Saccharomyces cerevisiae S288C: one gene and its partner. The protein of the gene in region 1 interacts with the protein of each later gene in a pairwise test. Each region holds a gene or a part of one and is shown on either strand. Other genes may lie near its edges.

Region 1 (7,068 bases):
CAAATCTAAATAGCAATTGCTCTTTTTAATTAATGGTTTACAGTTGTGATGCAACGCAATCCTTTTTCTTATAATTGGTTTACATATTTTATCACTGAAAATAATGTTGTATTACGGGCTCGAGTAATACCGGAGTGTCTTGACAATCCTAATATAAACAGTCTTAGGGAAGTAACCAGTTGTCAAAACAGTTTATCAGATTAATTCACGGAATGTTACTTATCTTATATATTATATAAAATATGAATCATACTAAGTGGTGGAAGCGCGGAATCTCGGATCTAAACTAATTGTTCAGGCATTTATACTTTGGGTAGTTCAGCTAGGGAAGGTCGGGTTTTGTCTCATGTTGTTCGTTTTGTTATAAGGTTGTTTCATATGTGTTTTATGAACGTTCAGGGTGACGTATTGTCATACTGACATATCTCATTTTGAGATACAACAAATAACATACAATTTTGGCAACTTGGCCGAGTGGTTAAGGCGAAAGATTAGAAATCTTTTGGGCTTTGCCCGCGCAGGTTCGAGTCCTGCAGTTGTCGTTATTTTTTTTTACTGATGATATTTCACCTCTTCAAAGCATACTCATCTTCAACTCGGATTCAACACGAGAAAGAATTATTTAAATCGGTACAAAGCAATACACTATTCAAAATCCTATCGTTTCCCAATTGTGTTGTGCGCGCGTTATTCTGCGATTCCGTGTAAGTGCATAGAGTAGGTTGTTGCAATAAAAAATGTCTCTAAATAGCAGGCCGACAGACATAACCAAATGATTTCCGTGAACAACCTCAAATTTTCAGGCTTTGAACGTGATTTTCCCAAACCCTGTAACTTGATGTGTAAATTTAAAATGGAATTGGCATGCCAGCTATCATCCCTTAGTGCTTTCAGTCCGAGAGTCTCCATATGTCTGACTTCACGACCTAATTGAACCGGCGCCCATTTCTGGGACATCAGCACTTGCGGTGCTGTTCCAAATAATATCTAAGGTAAGTTTAATGGCCCAGCCCGATCGTGAACGTTAAAGAAAGCATACGTCAAAATATTGGTACCTTATAAGAGTAAAAAAATGCTGTTTCATCTCGTTTGGTAGAGTATATATAAAAAGAGCGGTTTCTGAATTGTTGAAATTTGAACTGTTCAAGATTTACTTAGTAGTATGAACCTGCAGGGATCATCCAGAAACAAAATGCTGTAGCTTCTTCTCTGAATTGTATTTCTTTACAAAGAGCTTTGCTATTTTGCCTTGAAACAGCATATCTCATGGCGAGCGCTTCCATAGCGCTTGAAGCAGACCAAAGCAACATGCTGGAAGACCAGATTCCTAGACTATTCATGTACATCTCTACATAGTATGATCGACTTCGGGATTTTTTATTCCTTACTACGTGGTTTTTACGATGGCATGATCAAATTCTGTGAAGCTGTTTTGTCTGTCAGTGGGATCGTGCATTGTACTCAGTTAGAAGTGCGTTTGGAGCTTTGTAACATGGCACAAGTGAAGTGAAAGACGCCCTTTATAGAAAGGAGAGTTAGCTAATGTAGAAGTACAGCTGGTGATAAGAAAACGCTGATGCAGAATCAGGAAAGTGTTCTCGTTGTATTTTCCAAGTCTACTTGATTTTACAGTTAACGTAATATTCTTTATTATGTAGTGGTAAGAAATACTCAAACCGTAGGAAGCGGACTTGAGTTTGTTTTTATCTTCAGAGTATATGCATCCACGAAACACACCCTCATTGGTATAATGTTGGTACTTTCATTCCTACGTAGATTATGAAGTATAGGAGGAAAAAGAAAAAATAATGGTTGCTAAGAGATTCGAACTCTTGCATCTTACGATACCTGAGTATTCCCACAGTTCACTGCGGTCAAGATATTTCTTGAATCAGGCGCCTTAGACCGCTCGGCCAAACAACCACTTATTTGTGATATTTGGGTCACAATGTTTTAACTATTTGGACACTGACTTGTTATTAGCTGATCGCTAATTCAAACACATGGTTATATAAAGCATTCTTTCTGAAGAGACACCCAAAAAATAAGTACAGCATGGAAGTAATTATCATGCGTGTACGTGTTCTACTACATATTTTGCTATTCGGCATTGTAATGGGAAGTGATTCATAGGTGGCTGCCCCATTTTCAACGAGGGTAAAGTTTATAACTTTTTGTCTGGTCGTCCTCTTAGCTATACAACATCGTTATTGTTTAGGTATTATCCAACAATTAGGACACAGGCGTGAATAGTTTTATTAACAAATATAAAGTTAGCAATCGGCCAGTAAAAGTTTTAACGCAGGGACATCTCAGTAAATAAGTCATGCCTATGGTCCTCATCTAAATTTCGAAAAGAGACTGTGTTACGTATTATTCGCGAAGAACAATGATGATATATATCTGGCGATTTTACGGCCATTATCAGCGGTAAAACACCCAAGGTGTTGACTAAGTGATGGAGTCTGCGGTGGACAAGTGTTACTTTTGCTATACTACTAATCCAGCATTCCGTGATCATAGTTTAAATGCGCTGGCGTATTGGGAGCTCTTTGATACAACGAGAAGTCAGACATCAGCTCGCCGAAGCGTCCTAACAGTAACTAACTAACAATAAGCCTTAATGTAGTCCTCTTCCATATTCAATCTACTCTATATTCCGCTGGAGACCTGCTCACTCAATAGATCAGAAACACTCTTATATCCAAAAATACACAGGTACGAAAAATCTCGATCGAGAAATTCAAGGAAATAGAATAATCCTACACACATAACATTAAAAAAAAAATCCCTACGACAGAACTTCCCAGTCTGCTTTTGATTTACTTTTAATAAATACAGATGTTTTTTCAGTACCTTTCATGTTCCCATCCTTGTTACGATATATACTTTCATCTGGGGGCGCTAAAGAAAGCGAAAAGCTATGTACGTACAGTTGAAAAAAAGGAAAATACCAATTGAGGTTTGAAATGTTCGACACATTCAAGTCTATTTTTCCTAAGCTATCAGGATAAGGTTTACTTGACTTGTAAGCAAAAGCAAGTTAAATCGTTTGTTAAACATGCAATCTTATTTAAAAAAAACACTCATGTCACGGACGATCCTAAAGCAATCCCATTGAGGGAAGGATCTCCTGACAACCCTGAAAGTCCTTTAATCTCAGCTGATATCGTCCTTCCAGAGGATGAGTTTGCATCATACCAGAGTTATTTGCTTTACGAAATTGTACGCGCCAAGTATATAATGATCAATTTCCTCCTTTTTGTCTTGACGATTTTGGCGACTTTAACAAACATTTGGTTTTCTGGTGTTCTCTCCCCTGCCATGGTGATCCGGATATGTTTAGGTGGCTCTATGGTAGTCCTTCAGATATGGTCATTCAGTAGACCAATAAGTAATGAAACATTCCGTACAAAACTTCTACTAGAGGTAATAACTCATAGACCATCGATAGCTGGGAAAGAATGGAAAACCATAACGTATAACATGAATCAATATTTGTTCAAGGCTGGCTTATGGAAAACACCATACCACTTTTTTTGTGAACACCAGTGCTATGAATTTTTCAAGGATCTCATAAAGGGAAAATATCCTGATGTACAGTGGGATACAGCGAATACACAGCCGTTCATCAGTGTTCCAGAAAATCAGGCTGCAACTCAAAATTCTGATGTTGAACCAACCGTAAAGTGGTGCCTCTTTAAAGCAGCCGAAATTCAAGCCCATGCTGTGCGGGAATATTGGCAAAGTCAATATCCAGATGTGGGCATACCTGCAATATGAGTAGAGTTTACGTATCTAATATATTGGTATAAAAAGAACGCATCTTTTTTTTTTTGGGCTGTTCTGGGCTCCAGGAAGTCATAAATTGTGGGTACGCTTTAGATGTGTTTGCAATATTTGCAACTGCTCTCCCAAAAAAAATTAGCATTGCAAGATATTGAATAACTGGGTCGTCCCGAAGCAACAGTGGGGAAATAGTTTACGAGTTTTGTTCAAGTTAAAAGCATTTTTTGTTGTGAAGAGAATAAACTTGATTTCGAAGGAGATCAAATTCGAAATAATCTGCGAATTTATTATGATCGACTAGGCAACGAAGACGCAGTTTTCTATTAAATCTGTGCGTTTGAGTAACTTAACTGACTATAATATCGCAATCTTAACATCATTAAACAATGTAAAAGAGGTCATACGCTATAAGAAGTTGATTTGATCCCCCGTGGATTTTGAAAAATGTCAAGATCAGCATATTGACCCATGTTTTTCCGCTCAATCCAGTCTATCAATCATTTTTCAACAAGGATAACCATAACATTCACCCACCATGCTTTGGTTCATAAGATATACGGGGAGATCAGCAACTCTTCAACTTATTGAACATGTTGAGAGCAGGATTAAATAATCAATGTCCTGTGATTGCAACATCTATCATGCCTGACGTTTCTCGAACGATACAATCTACAATTTAATGAGCCATTTTAGCATATTAACGAGGGCTGCATGAGGATCGAATGGACAAAAGTGTTTTCAGGCATGGGAGAATGGGATGCTTATAGAGGAGTTTAACCATGAAATTAAATGATTCTCCAGCAAGAAAAAAAAAACTCCTGACTCAGTTCATGTGGCGGGAAATTTCTCTCATTGTCTCCCCCTGCAGCGCTACTAATCTTAAAGGTAGTGGTGGCTTCGACATTATATCGTTGGTTCAGGTTGTCCGATCACTAATGATCTGTTACTTTATTGCTATGTTATGTGTCAAAAGGTGATATCCCCATTTTTACTGATCGCAGTAATATTTTAACCTGCCATGGTTAAATTGTTTATTGTCATTGAGTTGAGCACTTTTTCATTGCACTGTAGTTGTTGCGTATTTCAGACTTACTCTTATAGTGACGCTAACAGGAGGTCTGGCTCTTAATACAAGGACGTCGTAATATTCTGTTCACCGGACTCGAAAGCAAGAAGGAAAAAAGCACATTGTAGCCTTTTCAAAAACCTATCTTTTGGTACTAATTTATGGCGGCCCATACAGAGAGCTACCCTAAGAAATAGTTCGCATTCGTATATGAACTTCGGCTTTGAATATTGCGGATTCGTGCACAATACAAGACTTCTGTCGTTCCATGTCATCTATTGCGCGATTATTTTTTCACCAATTCCTTTCATTTCTAGTGGTTTCAAGGCGCAAGATTAATCTTAGATTTTACCTCCATCAAAAGCTCGGTAATTGGCACGTCATTTTACTATATGGCCTCAACAACATCGCTATACAGATTTGGGCGCCCTACTTAGCGAGACTTCCTACATTTGGAAATTACCCTAAAGGCATATTCTCTTCATGTAATAGCTCGCACAATGTAACCCGATTCAATTGATGCCCCAGTCGTCATTTATGTACAAGCATATCTACGCTGGCTCTGAGACTTGTGTTGTCCAAACAAGAACCCCCATCATATCTAGCGTGAGTATCAAATGGTTGGCAATAGTTTGTGTGGTCTGATTATTTACGTACAGCTCCCCTTTTTGTGTGCATATTCCTGCAGATGCGACTCTAAGAGCTCACACTTAATTTTTCATTGTTTCTAATTTGGGAAAAGTCCGATTTCCCTCCTACTAACCGTTTAGTGCCAAGGGTGAGATGGCCCTTGAACGAGGGCCCAAAATAAATTTGGCTTTGGTTCTATTTCTTGGCCAAAACTGCAGCTGCAGCCCTATAGGCACTTTTCCTGTAGAGAACATTCTTGTGCTATGGAACATATGAAAGGATGGGGCATAAAAAAACGGCTTCCTATACGAAGTATAGCATCGTTCAAGAACAACCCGTCCCCATAGTAATAATGACTTAGTCGCTAAGTGGAATGTGGAAGGCATGAGTGTGAGATGGGCGACCAGTAAGAGCCCATGTGTGCAGATGTAGTTGTTCAAAGTTTCATATAAATACAGCGGCTTGATCAGCTTTGTTTGAGACATTTCTCTGTTCTTTTCCTTCCAGTTAAGCCTATATCATCACTAAGCAATAACCCAAAAAACAACAAATACAATGGTCAAATTAACTTCAATCGCTGCCGGTGTCGCCGCCATTGCTGCTGGTGCCTCCGCCGCAGCAACCACTACATTATCTCAATCTGACGAAAGAGTTAATTTGGTTGAATTAGGTGTTTATGTTTCCGATATCAGAGCTCATTTGGCTGAATACTACTCTTTCTAAGCTGCTCACCCAACTGAAACTTATCCAGTTGAAATTGCAGAAGCTGTTTTCAACTACGGTGATTTCACCACCATGTTGACTGGTATTCCCGCCGACCAAGTTACCAGAGTTATCACTGGTGTTCCATGGTACTCCAGCAGATTAAAGCCAGCTATCTCTAGTGCTCTATCCGTAGACGGTATCTACACTATCGCAAACTAGAGTCCCTGCTTTACGAATGAAACCTGTACAGGTATGAGAGGTTACGAAAAAAAATGATAAATGAAAAAAAAAAAGCTTAATAATATGAAATTAATAGTATGAATAGTTAGGCGCATGTATATAAATATAAATTTTTGTATATATGTATTATTAATATTATAAATTTCTTATTATTAAACCATCCTTTACGGAAATAACGGCCTATTCCCTTAGTATTTTGTTGTAGCTCGTGGAGTTATCCATTTTAAATGGATCTTGGGATAATTTTTACTGCTTCCCTCGTACTGGGAGCTTAATACACGTTCGTCTTGTTATCATCATAAATATGTGTTTATTATTCTCGCCTGGAAGGAAATCTTCAGTATAAATTCGTGAGGAATTTAGAATATAAATAATTCAATCATAAGAAAACATAAAAAGATCAAGTAAATAATAGAGGCATACAAGCATAACCAAATAGTACTATAAACAATTTTAAATTACACGTAAGAGATAATGGGTTATAAAGTATGTTTTTTTAAGCCATTACTGCAGCGTTCTTTATCATTATTTGAGTTCGAATGTGGAAAATGACGACTGAAATTTATAAGATAAAATATTCGAACTATATAGAAGAAAATTTTACACTCTTCGCCTTTGAAAAACATGAGTGAATGTCC
Region 2 (7,638 bases), on another chromosome or scaffold:
TTTTACCCAGTAGCCTTTTTACACCTTACTTTTTTCTATAAAGACATGAGATCCTGGTAGAAGAACTTTGCTTGTGTCCTTTCCACTTGAGCTCCAAAAACAGTTGTAACTCTTTGGGCCAAAGGAAATATGATCGAAGTCCCAGAAGACAATCGTTCTAGCCAAACAAAGCGTAAGAATACTGAAAAAAATTGTAATGAACTGATGGTTGATGAAAAGATGGATGACGATTCGTCGCCCAGAGATGAAATGAAAGATAAATTAAAGGGAACAAAATCATTGATTATTCGTAAGTCTGAGCTAATGGCTAAAAAGTATGATACTTGGCAATTAAAAGCTATATTCCTGTTTTCTGCATTCATTTGCACTTTCGCTTATGGATTAGATAGCAGCATAAGGGGTACATATATGACCTACGCAATGAACTCGTACTCCGCACATTCTCTCATTTCTACAGTAAGCGTCATAGTTCTAATGATATCTGCTGTTTCACAGGTGATCTTTGGAGGGTTATCAGATATCTTTGGAAGGCTAACGTTGTTTCTTGTATCCATTGTACTTTACATTGTGGGTACAATAATTCAATCTCAAGCATATGATGTCCAGAGGTATGCTGCTGGAGCTGTCTTTTATTATGTGGGACTTGTCGGTGTTATGCTACAGGTTGTTTTGATGTTGTCTGATAATTCTTCATTAAAATGGAGGCTATTTTACACATTGATACCTTCATGGCCCTCGATTATCACTACGTGGGTCTCAGGTAGTGTAGTGGAGGCAGCAAACCCGTTAGAGAACTGGTCGTGGAATATTGCTATGTGGGCGTTCATTTTCCCTCTATGCTGTATCCCATTGATTTTGTGTATGCTCCATATGAGATGGAAAGTAAGAAATGACGTGGAATGGAAAGAATTACAGGATGAAAAATCGTACTATCAAACGCACGGATTAGTACAAATGCTGGTACAGTTGTTCTGGAAGCTAGATGTTGTCGGTGTGTTGTTGTTTACTGCTGGTGTTGGTTGTATTCTTGTACCACTCACTCTTGCTGGTGGCGTCTCTACAAATTGGAGAAATTCAAAGATTATCGGGCCCTTTGTGCTTGGCTTTGTCCTGGTTCCAGGCTTCATATATTGGGAAAGTCGACTTGCTTTGGTTCCTTTCGCTCCATTCAAGCTGCTAAAAGATCGTGGCGTGTGGGCCCCATTGGGAATTATGTTTTTTATCTGCTTTGTATATCAAATGGCTGCTGGGTATCTCTACACCATTCTAGTAGTTGCGGTAGATGAGAGCGCTTCCTCAGCTACAAGAATAATAAACTTATACTCTTTTGTGACTGCTGTTGTTGCTCCATTTCTGGGGCTCATCGTTACGAGATCATCTAGATTGAAGTCGTATATTATTTTTGGTGGCTCACTTTATTTCATTACTATGGGACTATTTTACCGCTACAGGTCAGGTCAAGACGCCGATGGAGGTATAATTGCTGGTATGGTTATTTGGGGTCTCAGTAGTTGTTTATTCGATTATCCTACAATTGTTTCTATTCAGTCGGTAACATCCCATGAGAATATGGCTACTGTCACAGCATTAAACTATACAGTTTTCAGAATAGGTGGAGCAGTTGCAGCTGCCATTTCCGGTGCCATATGGACGCAGTCATTGTACCCTAAATTATTGCACTACATGGGAGACGCTGACCTGGCTACAGCAGCATATGGCTCACCACTAACTTTTATTCTTTCCAATCCCTGGGGTACTCCAGTTAGGTCTGCGATGGTTGAAGCTTACAGACACGTTCAAAAATACGAAGTTATTGTTGCGCTTGTATTTTCAGCGCCTATGTTCCTTCTAACATTCTGCGTAAGAGATCCTCGGTTGACTGAAGATTTTGCCCAAAAGTTACCTGACAGAGAATATGTCCAAACCAAGGAAGATGATCCTATCAATGACTGGATCGCGAAACGTTTTGCAAAGGCCTTAGGCAGGTCATAAGAAAGATTTACAAAACCCCAACAGGATATGTGTTCGAAAAAATGATCTCTGATATGCGCAGTAATTTTTGTATGGTACATAAGATGAAGCAAGATAAGTGATAGTAATATTTGTTACCATGTATATGTTTAATGTGATAACACAAAAGCGTAATATGAGTAATGTTTCAGTAATGTTTCACACATAGAAAACATATAGTGGAAAACGTATTGTAGCAAACCTCTAATCCGGTAGTACTTGAGAAATTATAGCTTCTGTGTACAAAAACAGTACCTATGTAATTCTTACATTTACATAACATATATAAACTTACTACATTATGACATATAAGCTAAATCGTAATTTACTACGTCAACAATATGTCATAGTGTAGTGATATCATTTGCGATTATATCCTACAAAAAAAAAGCACTTATATGACCAAAAATGTATTATCTGGATTTTAAGTTACCGCTTTAATATATGATGTTCTAATGTGAAGCCTGTGTACATATTGATTAGTATGAAAACATTATTGAACTTTCATGTTAATGACACCATGGCAGTATTCTTACCCCAAGTAAAGTGTTTCAGTCTTATTGCTAAAGGGTAGAATATTTTTATATTTAGGTGATTTTAGTGGTTATTTTTCTATAACAAATATTGAAAATAAGTGTTTTTGAATTTAGTGGTTATTGTATGGTGTAAAGTGATAAAACATATGCGAAAAGGAGTATTAATAATAATAAACAAGTAAAATACGTTTTGACTTACTGATATTCGATCAACTACACATAGTATATTTTGGAAAAGGAACATTTGTTCCTACTTTAGGGGCTTCTCATTGCGGGCCGATTGCGCTTCTTTAATGTATGGCCATAGCTCAACGTTCAACGAAGCAAACCACATAGGTTTTTTTAAAGATAAGAGACGATAGAAAAAGCGCCTAAAAAACCATTCGCAGTCAAGTCCATCGTAGAAAAACTCTTCATTATTCCAGACTTTTTTCTCAAACAAATACCTATTCATTTTCTTTGCAATTTCGTCCCATCCATTCGCACCACTTTCTTGCTCATTTATAATAGTTGACAAGAACTGCATCTTGTGTTCCATTTTCACGGATAAAACAATCATCCTCATATTTTGGAAATCTCTCGTCATGATAAAAAACATTACTACCGGAAACAAGAAACGTGATATAAGGTCAGCATTTCCAGACGTGTAGACAATTAAAAAATAATAAAGGAAGAGTGGTAAACACCGCAGGTTGAAAATCCTTTTAAGAATCCAGGTAAGCTTAAATCGGTAAGCTTCTTTGGGGAGCTGAATGTCTTCCAGGTCGAAAGGACTCTCTTCCTTCTCAGTATTAAACAGCTTCCACTCTTTGTCAAATCCTGCAGCATACACTTGCAAGGCCTCTTCGATATAAGGAACGGAATCCTTAAATGACTTAACCTTTGCAGATTCGTCTTTTTTTAAAGAGAAGGGTTCGAGAAGGGTTGTTTTAAACGCTTTTTGGCAGCTCATGGCATTGAAAAAAAAGTACTTGGTATTCCAAGTCTTATTTTCATAGAAGTACGAATTTAGATTTGCTGCAACGACTTCCCAATCATGAGGATCCGAACTTGGTGTGTCTTCAGTAATCTCTTTGCAAAACTGAATGAGTTGTTTCGATAAGGAACGCTTACGAGAAAGTCCACAAATAACAAGGACAAAAAATGGTCCCAGGAACAGGACAAGAAGTGAAACTATAAGTGGGTGAATCCAATTGCTGGAAAGTTTCCACCAGACGCTAAGTGGTAGCCATAACAGCATCCAGATGCGAAACGCTAAAGACTTGTAAATTTCATAACAAAACCAGGTCAATTCGTTTCGGAAAACATCTTGAGGTAGAACGGTCTTTTGGAATTCGAGCTGTTTGAAGGATAACACATCTACGCTTTTCTCATCTTTGACTTCATTCTCTTTCATTTTCGGTAGTGAGATGGCAGTTCGAGGGGTTTTTTATTCGAAATAGTAACTTCTGACTTTTCGCTTTTATACAGCACAGCAGAAAAAAAAAGCCGCCGAGGCGCGCGCGTTCATGCAATGGCTCAGTAACCTCGTGATAGAAAAAGGGAAACAATATTGGGCTATTTTAGGCAAAGAAACTCAGCTATTCGAAAAGGGCATCCATTTCATTTCCGGTTTTCTATCTAGCCAACTCGATAATCGTAATAACGAATTTACAAAACTTTAATGCGGGTGCATCACGGTGTGCCGTAACTTTGGTTTACATTTAAGGTGCGACCAGCAATGTCACTGCTCGTACAGCGGTTACCGCTTGAATGAAATACATATTTTAAGCGTAGATTTCCTGTGACAAAACTGTGTAAACATCTAGTAGAAAATAGACGTAGCTGTCACAAATATTTACACAGGAAAGAGTCCGTCCTACGTATCTGACATGAAGATTCATAGAACCAAGTTACTTACAAATGTGGACAACCTTTCAATACCATTTTTTATCCTTATGCTTGGTGTCACTGTAAAATTGATCAAGGCAAAACCTAGAGGTACGGTGGTGCTCAGATCATGCATGACATCTGGGTAATCACCACTTCTCCCGCTTGCTTTGAGATTCTGTATAAATATTGCAAACAAAAGGGTAGAGCACGGATGGGAGGCCTTATAGTAAAAATTATTCGTTTTAATCATGCGTCAGTGTGAGATTCTATGACAATAGTATGAGAAGATAGGGTGAAGTAAAAGCGTCTGTATGACTATAGAGTACAGTTATATTACAATATATGGAATAGAGCATAGTGGTATGACGGTATTAAGGAACATTTAAGTTAATGACGTCATGGTGGTATTGATACGCAATTGAGTGTGTTTATGTACTATGGTTGAAGGATAGAATATTTTTATGTTTAGGTGATTTTAGTGGTGATTTTTTTGTAATATTGGCATAAGTGTATATAAATTGAGTGGTTAGTATACGGTGAAAAAGAGGTATAACGTATGTATTAAGAGCAGTTATACAATATTTGGGGCCGCCGAATGAGATATAGATATTAAAATGTGGATAATCGTGGGCGTTATGGGTAAATGGCACAGGGTATAGACCGCTGAGGCAAGTGCCGTGCATAATGATGTGGGTGCATTTAGTACTGATTTAGTGAGAGATGGGTCATGGAGTGGAGTAGAATGTGAAAGTAGGGTAAGTTGAGAGTGGTATATACTGTAGCATCCGTGTGCGTATGCCGTACCAGTATACAAGTGCAAGTGAGTGTGGCATGTGGTGTGTGTGGGTAAGTACGTGTGTATTATTTACGATCATTTGTCAACGTTTCAACATGGTGGGTGGGACATGGAGCATTAGGAAGTGACTTGGTACGCCAAAAAGGGCTCCTCTACCTCAGCGGGGTAATAAAATTTATCCACGAAGCGGCTGAGCAACGAACAGAATCCTGGTTCTCCTCGACTAAGCAGACGGTTAAGATACTGTGCACCATGGAAATTGAAAACGAAAGCACGTACCGACTGCTTTATTTTTGCAGGCCGGAAATCAAGCGATGAATGAGACATCCTTCTGTTTTCTATGTTGGGACAGACAGTCGCTTATCTTAGTGAGATTTCTTATTAACTGAATTTTCTTTGCTGCTGCTGGAGATTTGCACCTGCATAGCGCAGATTCTGCTTCTTCTCAATAGAGTAGCTTAATTATTACATTCTTAGATGATGATAAGACGGAAACTGGACAATCTTTTGTTTATATTGATGGATTTCTTGTCAAAAAGCATAACAATCAACATACTATTGTTAATTTCGAAACTTACAAAAATAAAATGAAAGTTTCCGATAGGCGTAAGTTTGAAAAAGCAAACTTTGACGAGTTTGAGTCGGCTCTAAATAACAAAAACGACTTGGTACATTGTCCCTCAATAACTTTATTTGAATCGATCCCCACGGAAGTGCGGTCATTCTACGAAGACGAAAAGTCTGGCCTAATCAAAGTGGTAAAATTCAGAACTGGTGCAATGGATAGGAAAAGGTCTTTTGAAAAAATTGTCGTTTCCGTCATGGTCGGGAAAAATGTACAAAAGTTCCTGACGTTTGTTGAAGACGAACCAGATTTCCAGGGCGGACCAATCCCTTCAAAGTATCTTATTCCCAAGAAAATCAACTTGATGGTCTACACGTTGTTTCAAGTGCATACTTTGAAATTCAATAGAAAGGATTACGATACCCTTTCTCTTTTTTACCTCAACAGAGGATACTATAATGAGTTGAGTTTCCGTGTCCTGGAACGTTGTCACGAAATAGCGAGTGCCAGGCCGAACGACAGCTCTACGATGCGTACTTTCACTGACTTTGTTTCTGGCGCACCTATTGTAAGGAGTCTTCAGAAAAGCACCATAAGGAAATATGGGTACAATTTGGCACCCCACATGTTTTTGTTACTACACGTAGATGAGCTATCGATTTTTTCTGCATACCAAGCAAGTTTACCTGGCGAAAAGAAAGTCGACACAGAGCGGCTGAAGCGTGATCTATGCCCACGTAAACCCACTGAGATAAAGTACTTTTCACAGATATGTAACGATATGATGAACAAAAAGGACCGATTGGGTGATGTTTTGCATGTGTGCTGCCCAAGTTGAGAAGAGATACTAACAAAATGACCGCGGCTCTCAAAAATAATTGACGAGCTTACGGTGATACGCTTACCGTTATCCAGAGCTACAGCGCAACGTATACGTCGACGATACAACAAGAACGGTTCATCGGAGCCTCGACTAAAGACGCTTGACGGACTCACTTCCGAGCGCTGGATTCAATGGTTAGGCCTTGAAAGCGACTACCATTGTTCATTCTCTAGTACTCGGAATGCGGAAGACGTAGTGGCAGGTGAGGCGGCGAGTTCAGATCATGATCAAAAAATTTCAAGAGTAACGCGAAAAAGGCCCCGAGAGCCCAAGAGTACAAACGATATCCTCGTCGCAGGCCAGAAACTCTTTGGCAGCTCCTTTGAATTCAGGGACTTGCATCAGTTGCGCTTATGTCATGAAATATACATGGCAGACACACCCTCTGTGGCAGTACAGGCCCCACCGGGCTATGGTAAGACGGAGTTATTTCATCTCCCCTTGATAGCACTGGCGTCTAAGGGCGACGTGGAATATGTGTCGTTTCTGTTTGTACCGTACACAGTGTTGCTTGCTAATTGCATGATCAGGTTGGGCCGATGCGGTTGCTTGAATGTGGCCCCTGTAAGAAACTTTATTGAAGAAGGTTGCGATGGCGTTACTGATTTATACGTGGGGATCTACGATGATCTTGCTAGCACTAATTTCACAGACAGGATAGCTGCGTGGGAGAATATTGTTGAGTGCACCTTTAGGACCAACAACGTAAAATTGGGTTACCTCATTGTAGATGAGTTGCACAACTTTGAAACGGAGGTCTACCGGCAGTCGCAATTTGGGGGCATAACTAACCTTGATTTTGACGCTTTTGAGAAAGCAATCTTTTTGAGCGGCACAGCCCCTGAGGCTGTTGCTGATGCTGCGTTGCAGCGTATTGGGCTTACGGGACTGGCCAAGAAGTCGATGGACATCAACGAGCTCAAACGGTCGGAAGATCTCAGCAGAGGTCTATCCAGCTATCCAACACGGATGTTTA

Evidence for each region. The genes of interacting proteins can lie anywhere in the genome.
Region 2: the proteins of DFP1 (region 1) and COS8 interact in a protein complementation assay, tested with the Saccharomyces cerevisiae proteins (one large-scale study listed by BioGRID).

Annotation. Positions count from the first base shown.
Region 1 is NC_001133.9:175,996-183,063, reverse strand, and holds DFP1 (DUP240 family protein), read left to right. Parts: upstream 1-3,243; coding exon 3,244-3,783; downstream 3,784-7,068. Other genes in the region: seripauperin PAU7, read left to right, coding at 6,041-6,208.
Region 2 is NC_001140.6:2,705-10,342, reverse strand, and holds COS8 (Cos8p), read right to left. Parts: upstream 3,943-7,638; coding exon 2,797-3,942; downstream 1-2,796. Other genes in the region: ARN2 (siderophore transporter), read left to right, coding at 130-1,992; YHL048C-A (uncharacterized protein), read left to right, coding at 4,546-4,680; YHL049C (uncharacterized protein), read left to right, coding at 5,802-6,617; YHL050C (uncharacterized protein), read left to right, coding at 7,032-7,638.